Linked DNA regions of Bombyx mori. The protein of the gene in region 1 interacts with the protein of each later gene in a pairwise test. Links are inferred from orthologs where the notes say so. Each region holds a gene or a part of one and is shown on either strand. Other genes may lie near its edges.

Region 1 (3,935 bases):
CATGTGGCTGCCCTTGAATCCGCATCCTGCAGAGCCGTCGCTCTGACCCTCCACTCACCGCACCACTGGTATTCAGCACCAAACCCGCTGGCTGAAGGTTCGTCATTCTGTGAAGATATTTCAAGTTATATTTAAATCATACCCGTCAAAGCACACGATTGCTTGAAGCAGCCAAGATGCAACCAAGATGTAATTAATTATACTCACTTCTACGTCGATGCTGCCCTCCTCCGAGCTGGTATCAGGTATGTCTTCATCCATCTCTGCTCCTGTTCTCTTGAGGCACCTCAAGGCGTGCCTCTGTAGTTTGGAGGTTGGTAAGGTTGTATTGCAAACAGGACACTCTCCATTTTGTGGGGGAGGAGTGCTTCTCCGACGAGCCCGGAGACGGCGGAGGCGGTTCGCGTGTACTCGCTGCAGATAAATATTGAAATCCTACTAATGTTATAAATGGGAAAGCTTTTCAAGACGGATGAGGTTGTTTGTTATTCTTTAGGTTTTAACATACAATAATGATGGAATATTAACTTGATATCAGTTTGGTATCGGTCAAAATGGACAATTGTACTTGTCGTGGCGTGTAACCTACGACAGAATATACGATGACTGAACATAAACTAAGGAAAGACTTGACAGGTGTGATTCAAAAAAAATGGAAATGGACGAAAATAGACTGGCAGTAGGATTCTTTTCAATGCCTTCTTAAAATACATACACGAAATAGACAACAAACAAATGAGCCAATCCTTTTAGTACTATAATGAAACATGACCGCTGGACATGGCTTTTCTGTCTTCTAAAAAGTTCACTGACATCACCGTAAATTCCCATCATTTTAGTGTGTTATTAATTCACTTAAGCTCATTTCCCCAGGTATGTGGTGACTGGCATGATTTTCATGTAACCATTTAGCCCCAGGAGAGCTATGAAGTTGTTGTTGAATTTTGTATGTATTATTTATGTTCAAAAAAAACCTTGACATCTTTGCGAATGTACTCTCTACACTCTTATATCTGTATAGCTAACCGATTGTAAATATAACAGATATTGTCTGTGTTTACCTCCAGAACAATATTCAACTGAAGTAGGAGTGTGTGTGTTTATGATTTATTTCAGTTTATTATTGACATTTAGCAACCTTTTGAATGAGGAGCTTCAGAACAATTCTTTCAAGATATCTTGCACTTGTTCAAGTGATGTGTGCAGATAATGTGTACAATACAAGTTTAAATAAATAACTATCCTAAAGAGTTGTATGAAGTGCACAGAATTGCCATTTCTTTGAAACATCTCTTAATAATCAAGTAATTGAAATAAACTTGCATAATCGTACAAAAGTTTTAGACAACAAACTGTGGGCTGTCGATCTATCAAACTTATTCCACTTGCTACTCAGTTTTTTTTTTTTTATTGTCATGTTTTTTATTTATTTTATTGCTTTGATGGAAGGACTAGCTCACAGCCCACCTGGTGTTAATTGGTTACTAGAGCCTATAGACATCTACAACATAAATGCACCACCCACCTTGAGATATAAGTTCTAAGGTCTCAGTACAGTTACAATGGCTGCCTTCAAGCCGAAACGCATTATTGCTTCACGGCAGAAATAGGCAGGGTGGTGGTATCTAACGGCTCGGATCCACATGAGGTTCTACACCAGTAAAAAATATTATTGTATCTAATCTCTTCAAATATTAAGCATACTATACATATCAAGAACTTTTTGTTAATTTTACTTGCATGTTTGTTGTTTTCAAATAAATGCTATTTCAAACACTGAACCAAACAAGACTACAGTATCAAAAGAAATTGGCAGCATATATTTCAAAGGACAAAGGTGAAAAAACATTGATATATTATTATTGATAAGTTACAAGGTAACAAGATGTAAAACCTATACTTCTAAGTATCCAAATTAATATTACAAATGCGAAGGTCTGTTCTGTTTGTTTGCCTTTTTTATTGACGTGTACCTTTTTAAAAGTATTAGGTCAAAAGAACGACACAGGCTACCTTTAATACGGAAAAGACGTCTCGCCCTCACGATAAACTGCACTAAGCCTTTTCCTTGAGCGCGCAAATGAAACCACAAGTAACAACAATATTATTCACCTGGTAAACATCGCTGCCGGGACACCCTGTGACATCGATACCTTCATCAAGTTCAACGTTTGTACTGGATCCGGGAACAGCTGCATTAACATTGTTACTAACACTATTTACACTTAATTTCCTTTTCGAAGCACTGCCGGTGAGTTTGTTGAGCCTAGCTAATTCCAAATCTAAATGATGTTCCAATTCACCTTGACGCACGGTACAACTACACACCGGACAATTCGGTAATTCACTAACTTTTTTTCTACTTCTAACACTATTTAATATTACATTCTCGTCGTATATTTGCCCGTAATTAGTATTATGCTCATTCACGTTATTCGAACAGCCCTCCATGTTATTGTACATCAAAACTGGTAACATATTAGAAATTAATTTAAAATTTGTTTTGTTTTGAGTGTTTTATAAATCTGATTACATCGCGATTTTTGTGATTGATTAACGTTTTCTACCGTTTTAAAGATGTTAATGGGAGTTCGATTGTCATGTACGAACTCATCTTGCTGTAATTTATTTATTTATTTACGTAATAAACGCCGATAAATTGTTTCAAAACAATAGTTACAGTACAGAGTAGAGATCGTTTACACTTTTTTATTCCAATTTTTGATGTTTTAGATTTCTAGTGAAGTGATCAAGATTTACAGCCGGACAAATCGGAAGAATCGATTTCGTAAAAAAATATTTTTCGAACTAAAACATTTTGAAATTAAATAAAAAAAATTCTGTAATACACAATGATAATCAAAGTGATTAATTATTATTATTAGAGTGAATACGTATAAAACAGAAATGTAACCAATAAATATTCCATACAGCTTTGAATCGAAAACAAAATCGATTAAGTTCAACAGAGTTCCCATTAATAGTCAATGTTACATCAAACAATTCCAACTAATTTAAAGTTCATGAGGTGTAAAATTGTGTCATTCGCTTGAATCTCAACATACATTTGGTGAACACTATGAACTGTCGACTCTAAAATCGATTTTGCTTGTCGGCTATTAACATTATAACATAACATCAGTATTTACTTCAATTTTCACGAATTGTAAAATTAATTAAAACCGCTTTTACGGTTTAATCTTACGTTTTTGATCATTATTATACGCTTATTTTGCGACTTTTCTTATATACTTTACAGGTTTCGTGGCTAAGACATCAATTTAAATAGTAAAAAGAGTTTTGATTAAGATAAAAAAAATCGAATATGCGTTTAGTTTCACTATAATTTATTCATACAGTATAATTCTGGTTTCGGGTTGCTCTAAACACGTCATTTCGGATCCTCCCGATTCAATAACGGTGGTTTTAGGTGCTCCAAGTACCAGTCACCAGTTATCGTTCTCGTCGAACCCGTCGGCGTCGCTTGCGACGAAGGGCTCGGCAAGTAAATTAACTCACAGACACAGCCCATTGATGACTTTCTCGCCAGATCTTCTCAGTGGGTCGCGTTTCCAATCCGGTGGTAGATTCTGCGAAGCATTGCTTTTACTAGGGCCAGTTTTAGCAAGACTCCTGGTTTGAGCCCCGTGAGCTCACCTACTTGTTAAGGCTATCAGCGTAGGTAAGAAAAAAAATATAACATGTGTGCAATTCATACGTGTTAGAAGTGAAACCTTCAAAAATTAAAATACAATTATCCTAAATGTCTAAGTATATTAATAGTAAAATTTGTCATTAGTAAATAATTGTAAATCACCTTTTATAGTATGAGGTAGCGCCCTCTGTGAATTGATATTTTAACTTCACGTATTCTTAAATTAAAATTCACTACAAGAGATTTCATACACACGTTAGTATTAAAACATCTCACAGAT
Region 2 (3,835 bases), on another chromosome or scaffold:
CAGCAGACTTATTGCCTCACAGAGTCTTCTGCTTCGTCATTACAAGGGCGTTGGGAAAAATTTTGGTACAAGGGTTCGATTTACAAAAAGTACCTCACTGGCGCACCGGACCGTCTCGTGCTCATCTTACAAAATTACTTGTCGAATCATTTGTTTCGGTATCAGACCGAGGGAACTCGTTTTCCTCCCAGGCCAAGCGCGGCTGGAAACTTGTAGATGTATTAGCGAAGTAGCTCCCCTTGAATTGATAGGCCACGCGGAGGCGCTCGGACAGCACTAGTCGCACCCGCCGTACCCGCCCTGAGAAGATTAAGCCGGAGCGGATCCGGGCTACCATTTATCCCCCGAAAGAATAGAACAAAAATATCAATTCTTAGCTACTTACCAAAATGCTTTACTTCGTTGGTTGTTAATGTTTTTTTTGTGTTACTCTTGTAGGCAGACGAGCATACGGCCCACGTGATGGTGAGTGGCTACCGTCGCCCATGGACTTCAGCAATGCCAAGGGCAGAGCCAAGCCGCTGCCTACCGCTTAATACTCAAATGTCAAAGTAACATAACAAAGTGCTGATTTTAATATCTTGAAACTGTACCTTTAAATTTCAGGAACAAAACTATAACCCTGGAGAGACTAAAGCGCAGCATCATGACGGAGGTGCGCAGCGGTGATCAAGAGGGGCGTTGTCTAGCTCAGTACAAACGCGAGATGGAGCTGCTGCAGCAGGAGAAGATGAGCCATGTGGAGGAACTTCGACAGATACATGCCGATATTAATGCAGTAAGCTATCTATATATTAATACGTGAAGCAAAAACTTTCTACCATTTCTTACGAAAATTGCGCGGACGGAGGAGTATGAAATTTCCCACACTTATAGAGAATAATAATATAGAGAAGGAGTGCACAATGGTATTTTTTTTATTTTATATTATGCATTAAAAATACTTTAAATCAATAAAGAAAACATTACACACACTACCATGTATTTGACACACACACACACATATACTCTTTGTTTATTGTCAAACTTTTGTTATTGCTTAAAGTCTGTAGTCAAATTGAGAATAGGTTAATATTCTTTATTTTTAATATTACAAGTATTTGTCAATAGTGTAGTCTTGGCGAAATCTGCGACTATAGAAATATAATAGTCCAAACTTATAATATTAATTAATTATAGTCGAATTTCGACTACTGCGGGAACACTAGTTTTAATTAATATTAGGTCTTTACTTATGAAGTTGCTGTTTAGTTCATAGAAAGTTAAAGTAATTTTTTTTTATAAATCTATTAATTAAAATAAGCACCCCTGGTATTGATATATTTGTCAGCGCAGTGGTAAATTTTCAACGGCCTTCTTGAAGAAGTCAGGTACGGAACAAATAAACCGTTCAAAGGGCTTTTGTACTGCTTCTAGGGTACTAAATTTTTTCCTTGCTAAAAAATTGTCTATACTTTGGATAAAGTAGAAGTCTGTCGACGCAAGGTCTGGCAAGTAAGGCGGATGACGCAAACCTTTCAAACCTAGCTTTTGTAGCTTAGATAACGTCTGTTGTGGCATATGAGGTTCAGTGTTGTCGTGTAAGGGCAGCGGGGACTAGCGATTAACTAAGGCCAGCTGAAGATTCTCTAGCTTCTCCATCATTGTGTCCAGTTCTTCACAGTTCACATTGGCAGTAATGCTAGTGCTATTTGTTGAGCTGTGATGAAATATACTAGCACTCGACCAAATATTGATGTACAGTGTCGGGGACAGAATCTCCCACGAGATGCCCGTACGGAGGTGGCCACAATAAGCGACTCCGCTACATTCCTCGCGCGACATCCGCGCCCCGCAAGGACAGCACCCACCTTAGATTTAATTCGGAATGTGTTTACCTTGCCAAACTACAAACTGCAACTTAAGCCGCTTATAAACTAGCTCCCTGCGACTATACTGGGATAGCCGATAATCTCCATAAGAAAAAGAGGATTTGCGGAGTCATCATTCCTAAAAAAGAATACTTTGTCCGGATTCATACAAGAATATTATATGATTTTGCGGATTCAATGAATATGCGCTAAAAAAACCTGGTATTGAAAACATGCTAGTAAAGAACAGTTCTAGGGCTGCCACACTCAATAATGGCGATGTTATATTTTTTTTTAATCGTCATGAGGTTGTGGCTCTTGCCACCATACAAACTTATTTGACTATGGCCTGAATCTCGCTTACGACATTTTCAAGATAAACTTGCATATATATACAAGTTCCGAACAACAACATACTGACCGTCGGTCTACCGAGCAATATCACCCGCTCGGTGGAAGATCTTCCCTTTGTCGTATAACTACGCGGCGTGATCGCAGACCGGCTTAACATGAGGGCGGAAGGTCATGGATGTATTCAGAATGACTTCGAGATATGAATGGCCTTCCTAGAACAGGGTATTTGAATGGCACGAGAAGATGACCGGGGGCCGATGTGACAGGGACTCGCATAGTATCCTCACTTTAAAGGAGCACGGCCATGTTTCCCGCAGGGCTCACTTCGAATAAATATGCTTCAAAGAGCAGAGTCGCGTTTTGGTTTTATTTTTAAACCGGCGGCCCTATATAAGAGTTGTTGTTTGTTTACATTGTCTACAGTTAAACTTTACTGGCAGAGAACATTCGTATCATGTCGATTGTGTTTATTTGAACGCGCCCGTTGTTGCAGGCCGCGCACGCGACTAGCTCATTGTCGTTTTAAATAGAAATTATTGTTTTTTGTTCGGATTCTGTTCTATTGGCCTAAGGTTAGAATGAATCAGTTAATGACGCATTTATTGAAACTAGAAAGCAGTATGGTCTGAATTCGGTCACTTCAAATATATATATACGTGAAGCAAAAACTTTGTACACCTTATAGAAAATATAGAGAAGGAGTGCAGAACGCTAATATATTTTTTTAATTATGTATAAAAATACATTAAATCAGCTTGAAAAACATTACACACACTCCCATATATTTGAAACACACACGCATATATACTCTTTGTTTATTGTCAAACTTTTGTTATTGTTTAGTCTGTGGTCTATTTGAGAATAGATTGAAATTTTTTGTCGTTAATATTATTTGTTAATAGTGTAGCCATGGCGAAATCTGTGATTACAGAAGTTTTATAGTCTTTGACAATAAAACCATAATAATGTTTAAGCTTATAATTGAAATTAAATATGGTCGTATTTAGACCACTGGGCGAACGCTCGTACAAAATTAATGGGTTTTATTTTTAGAGTATCAACTATTTTCACATAATGATGTAATAAATAAAATTAATGTTCTTCAGTTGGAAATTCGCGTTTGATCGAGGCTTCTTTAGAAATAACACAAACGGTGTACAAGACATCACACACCACTTGTATTCTTGTGACGGTAAATATTTAACATTAAAACAACAAACATCATGGAATAAGGGTAATTGGATAAAATTTCATATTACATACGAGTTCCGAACGACAACATAAGGGCCGCCGGCGTCCGAGCAATATCCCTCTCTCTCCCTCTCTCTCTCCCTGTTTCTCTCTCTCCCTCTCTCCCTCTCCCTCTCCCTGCTTCTCTCTCTCCCTCTCTCCCTCTATGGAAGTATTTCTTCTCGTACCGCACCGCAGCCTCCACCACATTATTTTGAGTCACTATCCCTCTCGGACCAGCGTTGTAGTTGACTAAATACGTAATATATGTTAAATCTGTAAATATGTTTCTCAAATATAATCGTTTAAAGTATTCGGTGGAGGCGAAGAGGTCAATCAGAAGCTGTGTGTTATAGAAGGTGTACAGCGAATGTGTAAAAAGTCGCCTTCATCCGCTACTA

Evidence for each region.
Region 2: the proteins of E3 ubiquitin-protein ligase Rnf220 (region 1) and zinc finger C4H2 domain-containing protein interact in a two-hybrid assay, tested with the Drosophila melanogaster proteins (2 studies listed by BioGRID). The link is inferred for Bombyx mori from reciprocal best matches to the Drosophila melanogaster genes RNF220 and CG13001.

What each region holds. Positions count from the first base shown.
Region 1 is NC_085117.1:719,151-723,085, reverse strand, and holds the start of E3 ubiquitin-protein ligase Rnf220, read right to left. Parts: upstream 2,739-3,935; 5' UTR 2,479-2,738; coding exon 2,113-2,478; intron 436-2,112; coding exon 208-435; intron 108-207; coding exon 1-107.
Region 2 is NC_085129.1:15,695,888-15,699,722, reverse strand, and holds part of zinc finger C4H2 domain-containing protein, read left to right. Parts: intron 1-606; coding exon 607-778; intron 779-3,835.